Sus scrofa: one gene and its partners. The protein of the gene in region 1 interacts with the protein of each later gene in a biochemical or structural test. Links are inferred from orthologs where the notes say so. Each region holds a gene or a part of one and is shown in the gene's direction. Other genes may lie near its edges.

What was found.
Region 2: the proteins of MAFG (region 1) and NFE2L1 form a complex in vitro, tested with the Homo sapiens proteins (2 studies listed by BioGRID and IntAct, with this or other methods). The link is inferred for Sus scrofa from reciprocal best matches to the Homo sapiens genes MAFG and NFE2L1.
Region 3: the proteins of MAFG (region 1) and NFE2 form a complex in vitro, tested with the Homo sapiens proteins (2 studies listed by BioGRID and IntAct, with this or other methods). The link is inferred for Sus scrofa from reciprocal best matches to the Homo sapiens genes MAFG and NFE2.

Annotation. Positions count from the first base shown.
Region 1 is NC_010454.4:1,067,877-1,071,971, forward strand, and holds the start of MAFG (transcription factor MafG), read left to right. Parts: upstream 1-1,197; 5' UTR 1,198-1,272; intron 1,273-1,616; exon of another isoform or gene 1,617-1,669; intron 1,670-1,719; exon of another isoform or gene 1,720-4,095. UniProt on the Homo sapiens protein: Since they lack a putative transactivation domain, the small Mafs behave as transcriptional repressors when they dimerize among themselves.
Region 2 is NC_010454.4:24,301,917-24,306,248, forward strand, and holds the start of NFE2L1 (nuclear factor erythroid 2-related factor 1), read left to right. Parts: upstream 1-1,464; 5' UTR 1,465-1,594; intron 1,595-1,861; exon of another isoform or gene 1,862-2,002; intron 2,003-2,008; exon of another isoform or gene 2,009-2,134; intron 2,135-3,076; 5' UTR 3,077-3,588; coding exon 3,589-4,098; intron 4,099-4,332.
Region 3 is NC_010447.5:19,496,478-19,498,939, reverse strand, and holds part of NFE2 (transcription factor NF-E2 45 kDa subunit), read left to right. Parts: intron 1-1,192; exon of another isoform or gene 1,193-1,419; intron 1,420-1,603; 5' UTR 1,604-1,658; coding exon 1,659-1,772; intron 1,773-2,462. UniProt on the Homo sapiens protein: Component of the NF-E2 complex essential for regulating erythroid and megakaryocytic maturation and differentiation. Binds to the hypersensitive site 2 (HS2) of the beta-globin control region (LCR).

The DNA of each region.
Region 1 (4,095 bases):
CTCCAAGGCTCTAGGGGCCACCTGGGTGGCCTTTGTCGTTCCTTCAGTGGCACTGAATTCCCATAAGGATCCTGCCCTCGTCCCTGGCTCCTCCCTCTTTCAGCTCATCTGATCTCACTGACCTGTCTGGTGGGGGGGGGCGCGACCCTTCCTGACCTCACACCTGAGAAGAGACGTCCAGAATCTGGAAGTAGAATTGGGTCCCTTCAGTTTCCCTTCTTCCTTTCCAGACCTCTTTCTCTGGGGATTTTGAACAGAAGTGAGAAGTCCTTACAGAAAGTGTAGAAACTTTCTGTAAGGGTCCATGGGTCCATGGACGGGGACCTAAGCTCGGGGCAGACGCTGGTGAAACAGAAAGGAAAGGCGCACCCCCTACATCAACTATGAATTCAACAGATGCTTACTGATGCCCACATTCACCGCACCCACTCTGAGCCAGACGGGTTCTAGGAGCCGCCTGAGCCCGGTCCCTCATGTGAGGTCTCGGGATGCTGGGTGAAGACAGACCACACTACTCAGAAGCCTTGGAGGCGGCCTTGAGCTTCGGACAAACCCTTCGCCTCCCTGAGCCTGTGGGTCTCCTGTGAACCAGACAGCTGTTCCTGGCAAGGCTGAGGCCCGCTCCGCAATTACGGAGGCAAGGCATGCAGAGCCTGCCGGGGAGTAACAGAAACACCATGAGGACCTTCTCCATAATGCGTACGGACCTCGGATCCGCAACAGAAAACCGGACACGTGGCCTTTGCAACGTCTGCGCACAAGCCTCAGGAGAGCTTCAGAGGACCACGAGGCCCCGCCTCAAAGGGGGCGTGGCCGGACAGGGAGCGCGCGCCCGGGCCAGTCCCGCGAGACCTCACCCATCGGGCGCGGCGCGCGTTGCCAGGGCGACGGCGCCCGGCGCGCAGGCGCAGTGCCGGCGCGCTCTGCCGCCCGCCGCCGCCGTCGCCGCCGCCGCGCCTTCCCCTTTAAGCCCCAGCCGGTCGCGTCGCCGCTTCATGAATGGAGCCCACGTGACCAAACATCATGTGACGTCTGAGGAGCGGCGGCGGGCGGCGGCGGCGGCGGCGGCGGCCGGCGGCGGCGGCGGCGGCGGCGGATCCCGAGCCCCGAGCCTGGTCCGGCCCGGCCTTCCAAGCGCGCTCGGACCGGCCCGCGCAGGCGGCGAGCCCCTACCCCGGGCCCGGAGCCCCCGCGCGGCCCACTCCCGCGCGGCCTCGGAGTGCCCGCCCCGCCCCGCCCCAGCCTCGGCCCGCCGGGCCCGCAGTGTGGTGGGTGAGTGCGGCGGCGGCCGGGCCGGGGCAGGGCGCGGGGCAGCTGGGGGCTCCGGGCCGAGGGCGGGCTTCCGCGGGGCCTCGGCTCCTTCGGGCGTCCGGGGCGGCGCGGGCCGGACGCTCCGAGCTTCGGCTCTGCCCCGCGCCCTGCTGGCGGCCCGTGCCTCGATTTCCCCACTAGTCAGAAGCGGCTTCCTGCCCTTGCGCCTGGGGTGCTCGGGTGGGCGCGGGGGTGCCCACAGGGGCGGGGCGGGGCTTGCGCGGGCTGGCTTGCTGGGCCGGGGCGTCCTGGAGGGAGGGGCGGCCGGGGTGGCGGGAGGAAAGGGTGGGGTCGATCGGGGAGCCCAGGGCTCCGCGGAAGAGCCTGGCCGTCCCAGCCTGAGCTGCTGATTCATCAGGTGTCTGTGTTAACGCCTCTCGGACGCGGGGGTCCTTGGAGGCCGGGGGGAAGGGGGCGGCACGTGGGGGGTGGCTAGGAAGACCCTCCCCGCGCCGACTTCGCTCTGTCACACTCGTGCCAGAGCCCAGAGGGAGACTTGCTGAGTCATCAGCATGAGGTCACTCGATGCTTGTCCTGATGCCTGGGGGGATTTGAGCGAGGGGCTCGAGAGGCTGGAAGCGAGAGGTGAGAGCTAAACCAGGGAGTGGGAAGGGGCTAGGCCCCAGGCTGGGGTGCCTGCTTAAGTTCGGGCTGATGTGCGTGTTGAAGGTTTGGGGGGTGAGTAAATGGAGGGACCGCTATTCTTATTATTCTGGGGTAGAGGGTGAAGACCCTGGTCCGTCCATCCCCTCCCCGGCAGGCTTTTCTCAGGCTGCTGGTCCCTGACCCGCGTCTGGGACAGTTCCCCAAACTGGGAAATAGTTCTCTGAGTGAGAAGAGGGAGGAGCTTAGGGGGGCTGTGCTTGCGGGCTGGGAAGCCGGCTTTCCTTATGACTGGTCTGGTTGGCCAGGCTGGGCAGCCTCTGGGCGGGGAAGATGGGGAGACAGTGGGAGAAAGAGGGGTGCCTGTACCCGGTTTCTGGGTAACAGTGGACAGGGCAGGGGGCATGTAGGTGCAGCTCTACCAGGAAATTGCCAATGAGAGGAAGCAGCAGGACTTAGACTTCAGGGGAGTTGGTGTCTGGTGAGCAGGCCCTGCCTCTCTTCACAGCCCGCCGTGGGGTCTGGCTCGAGGCTGTGGGTGGCGGTAGCTTGGAGGGCACCCACCTTCAGGGCACTGGACTGGGGTGGACGGCATGGGCTGAAGAATCTCAGTCACCCCGGATTGTTCTGGTTGGGCTCAGGGTTGTGCAGCTTAACAAAGAAGGTGGTCCTGATGGGGTGGTGGTGGGGACTCCTGGGGAGGGAACTCCAGCCTGAGGGTCGTGTGGCCTGAGCCACCTTCCTAAGTGAATGGGTGGTTCCTGGTCTCCAGGGGCGGGGGTGGGAGTGGGGGTCTTTCCTCTAGACCAGAGCTGATCCTTTTGCCCAGGGGTTCAAGGCTAGGTAAGGCTGACCTTGTGCTTTGTCCTCAGGCATTACTTCCGCTCCCCTTCACCCCAGCCCTGGGCATACAGATGCCAGCTGATCTTTTTTTTTTTTTTTTTTTTCCTGGCCACAGCATGCAGTGGCTTGAAGTGGGATCTCAATTCCCAGAAAAGGGATGGAACCCAGGCCGCAGCAGTAAAAGTGCCGAGTGCTAAGCACCAGACCACCAGGGAACTCCCACCAGCTGATCTTTTGGCTGGAGTTTTATGAAAATGCAGATTCCTAGAGTGGTATTTCTTTAAATCTTCTCAGCTACTTGCGTTTGGTGGGAATGAAGTTTGAGACACTTTTCAGAGGGCTTCTGGGGAAATGGGTCCGAAGGGCAGGGTGAGTGTAGCGGGCTGGGGGGGGTGCCAGGATGACCGGGGCCACGCCTGCCGGGGAGGTTTGGCCACTGCGGTTTGTAGGACAGGAGAAGCAGGAGCGAGCTGGCCTCCTGCCCAGTGTCCATGCCCTGGAGTTTGAGCCCAGGGGAGGGGGAGGGGGCCCTCTCTCCTTCCTGGCCGGCTCTCAGCTTGAGTGGCTAGGCCTGGGTACCTTGGTGGGTATGCACTCTGGGGACCACCCCTGCCTCCTCCCCGAAGTGGGCTCAGCCTCTGGGGGAGCAGAGGCAGGAGGAGGGCTGCAGGGAGGCAGCGTCTCCTTGAAACGGCCTCGGGGATCCCCTTCCTCCGGCTTCTAGAGGTGCCCTGAGACCTCGGTCCCAACCCAGGCCCACAGGGTGTCTCGTCCTGGAACTGTGAGGCCCCAGGTAGCGGAGACCAGGCCAGGAGGCCGGAAGGCAGGCCTCGCCGAGACCCCCTCCCCCAGCCGAGCGCGCACACCTTTGATTAGGAGGCGATTGGCTGCACTTGTGCTGAGTTCAGGGCTTCTGCGCCGGGAAATCTGTCGAGGAGGCACTTTTCGGCTCCCAGCCGCCACGCTCGGCACTTTTCTGGGTGATTCTTCAGGAAGTCACCGTGGGCTCAGCATTCAAGTCTGGAGGGAAGGGGGTGGATGAGAAAAGCTGGTGCCGAGGCTTTTCCTTCGGGCTGACAGTCGTAGGGCCAGTGCGGTGACCTGGTACCGGGGCCGGAGGCTGGGGGTGCCCCTCTGACTGTGTCTTGCGGGCCTGGCTCCCAGCGTAGGCGTGGGGACCTCTGGCCTCCAGCTCCTCTACCCCTGGTAGGACAGCGGGGCTGGGGCCTCTGGCCTCCCGTCTGCAGCCTCCTGGCTCAGGGCCGGGTGAGGAGCTGTCTCTACCCTGGGTGAGCGTGTGCCTCCACCTCCCAGCCCACCCTGCCGCCCCACGTTGCC
Region 2 (4,332 bases), about 23 Mb from region 1:
CCACAGGCCTGCCTGTTTTTGTTCCCCTTCGATTATTAAGCAAGCATTTATTGAGTGTCTAAGTAGCAGGCACTTTTCTAGGTTTTGAAGACTCCACAGTCAGTGCACAAGATTCTAGTCCTTGTGGCGTTTGTATTCTAGCAATTTCTGGGAGAGAAATAGTAAGACGAAGAAATAAAATGTGCTCTCTGAATCTGACTTTGAAACAGGTAGCCAGCGTTTACGTTTTTTAAAGATTCAATGAATGGATGCTACTGTGTACTTCCATATGGCGAAAGTGCTTTATAATCTGGGAACCACCTCGAATTAAGCCGCCTAACTCTCCAAACACGTGATGGACTCAATGTTCTCACCGAATGACTTACCAGTTAGCCTTGTCCTTGATTGTACAAGGACCAGTGACTCGCCCACTAGATTAGTGGGATCTTCCAAGGAGTCAAGAATTTGAGTCAATGCCTCTTTGTCCCACAGCTAGGAACAACTCACTACATACTCCAACTCGGCCACTGGTTAAAAGTGGTCTCCGCACCCATCCGAGGTTATTGGGTCGTAAGTGAATCAGAACCTCGGGCATGGTGCCTCCAAATGTGCAAGTTTAACAACTTCCGCAAGTGTTGCTGGGGGTAAACTAATATTTGAAAATCACGAATACGTGGGCTAGGCGAGATTAGAAAACACTAGAAACTGAGGAAAGTTATGGAAAAGCAGGAGTAACGTAAGTGGGAGGTTGAGCAGAGACCATACAGGGGCGGAGCTCTTTGGGGTGTTGTAATCATGACAAAAAAATCACTAATTATGCCACACACCATCGTGGCAACATCGCCGAGCTGCCGCCACAGTTTGACCCTTGTCTGACATGTGGTGCAAAGATCCCGGACTGGCAAGGAACCCCGTGCCAAGCTTCCACGGAGCGGAAGCTGAGAGAGTGGTTTCCGCTGCCAGCAGCTAAGATGGTGGCACGAGCGTCGTCAAACCCGCCAAATACACACGCTGTGCCCCCACCTCGGCCTCTCAGGTCTCACTGGACTTTTGCAAGTCATCGTGGGAACCCTCATGGGGGGGATTCCGCGCTCCGACGGCGATACCACCTCCCACACCCGGCCAGAAGCCTTTATCCTCCAGCTCAAAGAACGCACTAGAAGAGGTCGGCCTCCTCGCTTTGCTCCGAGCCCAGCCTGTAATTCCCGCGGCTGGCGCACGGCGGAGGGAGTCTAGAACGCCGAGCGATAGGACCTTAGCCCCACTTATTGGTGGGCCTGCGCCGCGGGGCGGGCCTACATGCCCATTGGACTGCGGAGCTTGTCAGTCTTGGGAAATCGGTAAAGGGAGGAGGAGGTACACTTAGCCATTGGGCTTTCCCTGCTGTCAATCAAAGCGACATCCGGCGACGGCCACTATCTCGGCTCGTTGATTGGAAGAAACGTGTTCCTGGGGAGGGCGCGGGGGGCGGGCTTCCGAGTGAGGTGGGAGGAGGGGGCGGGGAGGGAAACGGAGGCTGGCGAGCTCTAGGCCGGCCGGCGGTGGCGGCGGCAAGGCCTGGACTCGGGCTGAGGGCCTGCTGGGACAGCAGCGGCGGACGCCGAGCTCAGCAGCGGTATCAAGCACATTTTTTTCCCTCACGGGAGGGGCGCAGTGCCGCGGGGCCAAGGCTTATGGGGTGAAGGGCGGCGGGGTGGAGCTGAGGGGCAGGAGGCGGGAGCGGGCGGCCGCGAGCGGGGTTCGCTCGGGGCTGGGCCTTGGACCTGGCAGGGAGGGGCCCAGAGGCTGTGGAGAAAGCCGGCTTCGGGGTGGGTTGGACTGGGGAGGGCTGAGGGCCTGAGAAGGCGTGGTATTAGGCCCGGGCTTGGGAGCGGGGTGGGGCCATAGGGGCGGAGGGCGGGGTGGGGTTTGGCCATCCGGGTGGGTCAAGGCCAGGAAAGTAGCACTTGTTCGCTGCTGCCCCAGAAGGCTAGAAGCCGAGGCGCCAGGAGCGGCATGGCGACTTGGTCCCAGCCGGACTCGGGTATCCGGGGCAGGGTGGGACCGGGCTCAGACCTGGCCTTCCTCGATCTTTAAGGGACCTCGTCCATTTGCCCGAACTTAATTGGCTCTTGGGAGGTTTTAGTAATAAATCGCGTGAGAACTGGAGGGTAGTGTAAGCAGGAATTCTAGATCGTAATTATGTTTACTCTAACCAGATAAGGGTGTGTGTGTGTGTGTCTGTGTGTATGTATAGATCCCTTTTTCTCTTTAGGATTGGGTCACAACAGTGAAGAAGAGAGAGTTATGTGTTGGTTTGTGAGGTTAATGGAAGCTCCGAAGTAGAGACTAGAAACTGAAAGGCAGCTTTGCTCTCTCTCCACTTGGCTATCTGGGTTGAGGACTTGGCCATATCCTTCTGCTTTGGCTCAGAAGGTCACATGAATGAAAATAAAACCTGCCTATTCAAATTCTGGGCCAAATAATCCTGCCTCAGCCCCCACCCCCCTCCCTTCAGTACCCCCCACCTTTTTTTTTTTCCTTTAATGTAAGAATGATAGGAAAGGGAAGTCAGGTTTCAAAATCGGGAAAACAGAAAAAGCATTTTTTCTGTAATGTGTTGTCCTCTCATCCTTGTACACTCTCAGCCAGTAATAATAATCTCTCCCTCCCCTTTAGAACTTGAAGGGAGAGGACTTGTAGGAGGCTCTCTCCTGAGAGATGGCAAGCAAACTTTCTTTTAAGATAGGAAATGGACTTCTCAACCTAAAAATAGAATCTGGGTAGTGTATACTTGGGGTGGGGGAGGGTTGATAAATTGGACAACATGTAAAATAGTTAGGATGCCCTGGGCATTATCTGCTTATCTGAAATGAACTTTAGAGTCCTGCACAGTTAATAGCCAGATACTGAGATCCCTGGTGAGCAGAATCTTCCTTTCGTAGTTATTCTTGTCTATAACAAATTTTTGGGTTTTTTTGTTTTTACGAGCGTATAACTGAGTTATTGTTGAGTAAAAAATAAGAGTGGTCTTTTAATATGTTTTCTGCTTTCTGCCTTGATCGTGGATGAAAAATGATGGACTCTTATCCTGTTGCTTTTGTGGTTCCCATTTCAGGTTTCTCTGGAAACCCCCCTGGTAAGTGTGGAGGAGGCGGGACACTCTGACCCAAGACAAAAGGCCTGTAGCTCCAGCCAAAGAAAATAAACCTTAGGAGGGAGAAGGAAAAAAAAAAAAAAAAAAATCCATCAGCTGTTCCTGAGAACAGCCTGCAGTGGAATCTACAAAGGACAACTAATGTGAGTGAGGAAGTGACTGTATGTGGACTGTGGAGACAGGAAGTCACGTGGGCCCGGAGGGCCTGGACTGGGTTAGGAACAGTTGTACTTTCAGCAGTGTGGTGTCACGAAGGGAAAAGTGAATGTGGTCTGGAGAGTGGCCTTGGCTCCAAGGGCTGTGCTTTCCTCTGAGGCCATCAGGGAGCTCGGCCCCTGTGTTCCCCAGGGGCGGGGTCCGGGGTTTGGCCCTGAGGGGGGTAACTTGCTGGCTGGAGCAGCAGAGCAGTGGCCTTGATTTGTCTTTTGGAAGATTTAAAAACCAGAAAGCATAAACATTCTGGTCCTTCAGCAATGCTTTCTCTGAAGAAATACTTAACGGAAGGACTCCTCCAGTTCACCATTCTGCTCAGTTTGATTGGGGTGCGGGTGGACGTGGATACTTACCTGACCTCACAGCTCCCCCCGCTCCGGGAGATCATCCTGGGGCCCAGTTCTGCCTATACTCAGACCCAGTTCCACAACCTGAGGAATACCTTGGATGGCTATGGTATCCACCCCAAGAGCATAGACCTGGACAATTACTTCACTGCCCGGCGGCTCCTCAGTCAGGTGAGGGCCCTGGACAGGTTCCAGGTGCCCACCACTGAGGTTAACGCCTGGCTGGTCCACCGGGATCCGGAGGGGTCGGTCTCTGGCAGCCAGCCCAGCTCAGGCCTCGCCCTCGAGAGTTCCAGTGGTCTCCAAGATGTGACAGGCCCAGACAACGGGGTGCGAGAGAGCGAAACGGAGCAGGGATTCAGTGAAGATTTGGAGGATTTGGGAGCTGTAGCCCCTCCAGTCAGTGGAGACTTAACCAAAGAGGTTAGTGGCTACATGGAGGGGCGGGTGGGGAGGGTCTGGGGTTGGAGGGCGCGGTGGGCTGGTCCTGAAGGAATGGGGTGGTGGTATTCGTAAACCCTTGTAAAGAACCAGAGAGGGTGTTCTTGGATACGAATGGGCTTAACTGTCTGCCTGGGATTGGAGGCTGGGAGTATTTTCCTTAGGTTGAGTGGTTGACCCACCTCTAAATGGACCGTCAGGGCAGTGGGCGGTTCC
Region 3 (2,462 bases), on another chromosome or scaffold:
GGGTAGGAAGGGGGTGGGGGCAGGGGCCAGGGGAGATCCTCCTTCGCAAGGGTCGTTTGCACTTCACACTAATTTCGGGCTGAATCAAACAGTGGATTCCATACTGAATAGCTGTGACAGGCCATCCTTGTGGTGACTGAGGTCATCCCATCCTAGGCTCTATCTTTCTCTAAATCCGTCCCCACCGCAACCTGCCTGCCTGCCTTTACTTCTGTGGCCAAGGTAGGGTGCAGGGTCAGGCCCTAAGAGATCAGGAGGCCCTTGCCAAATTTACTTGGAATCTCTTGCTGAAGGCGGGGTGAACAGATGCATGGTGAGACGGTTGGATGAGGAAAGAGGCTGGCAGAAGGGAGAAGATGAAGACAAGTGTGAGGGGTTGCTGAGAACATTCAGCTGCCCGAGCAGACAGGGACCTCCAAGTTCAACTTGTCTAACTCCCTGGTTTTACAAATGAGGAAACAGAGGCTCAGAGAAATGTGATGACTTGCCCAACATCGCGCCATTGCTTTGTGGCAGAGCTGCAGCTAGAACCCAGATCCAAAGACAAGGGGACAGAGGGAAGTGTGTATTCAAGCCTCTAAAGAGTGATTCTGTGGAAGAGAAGACAGACTGAGATTCCACAGAAAGGGCTGACCAGTGGCAACCGCCAGGAGAGTCTGGGCATGTGGAGACAGGGGAGTGGGATTGGGAAGGGGCCTGGAAGGCAGCGTAGACTCGTACAGTGAGCGAGGGTGGGTTCCAGACAGACCTGACCCTGCTATTTATGAGCTTGAGTCTCAATTTCTCAATGGATCTTGTAGGATGTACGTGAAAATCAATCTCATAAGCGAACGCTTCTGAAACACCAGCGCAGTTCTTGACAGATGCTGAATAAGTCTCTGCTATGGTTGTTGCATGACCTTCGGAGAGGAAAGACCCCTGGTTGTCTGGGGTGGGGAATAGCCAAGATGACCCTGCAGGACACAGGGCAGAGGTCCAGTGTCTCCAGAGACCATTCCTCTTCTGCTGCCTGCAGCTGATAAACCTCTTATCTGGCCCAGGCAGGGGAGCCCAGGGCCAGGATAGGAGGAGAGGGCAGGGCTGCTATCAGCCACCAGGCCTGGGCTGTATCTCAGAGAAGGGGCGGGGCTGTCTGCTGGCTCTTCCCACAAGGCGCTCCTTGGGCATCCCCAAGCGCTTGCTCTCATCTTGGAAAGAAAAGACTGAGATCTTAAAACTGAAGGCAGAGGAGGACAGCAGAAGTGATCCCCTGATGTTGCAGCAGGAAACAGGCGGAAAAACACCCTTAAATGATGTGACTTCTGTCCCGGCCAGTGATACGGTTTTGGGGACTAAGAAATAGGGGAAAGAGAAGGCATCTTGTGAAAAGAAGATAAACACCTACTGTGCTCCCAAAGGAACTGCCTACAGCCAGAGCAGGTGAGGTAGGGATAACACGGCAGAAAAGGGCTTTCTTGCTTAGGGAGTTGGTTGATGAGTCCAGCACGAATGGGGGGCAGTGAGGTGTCTCCTTCCCTGGCTGGAGGAGCCTCTCCATGGAGGAGGACAACACTGCTGACCCATGGCAGGGGACTTCCTAACCCCTGTTTCTCCTTTGACACAGACTGCTGGGACCATTTGGGCTTTCAGGACCTTGGACCAGGCCCTGGCCCAGTAGGATGCCCCCGTGTCCTCCCCAGCAGAGCAGGAACAGGGTGACACAGTTGCCCACTCCGGAGCTGGGTGAGATGGAACTGACTTGGCAAGAGATCATGTCCATCACTGAGCTGCAGGTGAGTGGGGGTGGGAGAGTTGGGGGTGGGAGGGGCGGTAGGGGGAGGGAAAAGGGAGAAACGGGGAGTCTGGCTGGGTCTGAGGCAGGGGGCTGGAGCAAGCAGAGCCCAGGGGCTCAAGATGGCAATGCTTTAGGCGCTGTAAAGAGAAGGGCTGGAGCTGGAGGGCGATCTGGATGGCAGACGGGGGAGCCTTGAGGGGGAGGGGGTGTGGATGAGCAGGAGATAGGAGTGGTGGGGAAGGAAGGATCTGATTGGGGGTGTAAGCTCTCTCAGCAGCCACTCTGCTCACGTCTCTCTACCCCACCTCAGGCCCCGTCTTTCCTTCCTCACCTTCTATGCTGACTCCTCCCATCCTGCCCATCTTCCTCCTTCATTCCCCCCTCAGCAGCTGGGCCCCTTTCCCTCAGGTAGCAGAGCAGTAGTAGTTCAGGGGCCTCGGGAAGGGGGGGGGCAGGCTATGCCGGGGTCCTCTCCTTCTGCTAGTTGGACAAAGGGGTGTCTGTTGGTTTAACAATGATGCCTTTGTCGCCAGGCGGGCTGGAGCAAGGTGGCTCCCCGATGTGGGTTGGGGGCCCTGTTTCTAGCATGTTCTCTCCTCCTCTCTGCACCTGGGCAGGGACAGAGAGACCGAAGGGGAGAGGGCAGAACTAGTGCAGGCTCCCTGAGGTACCTCTTAGCCTCAGACCT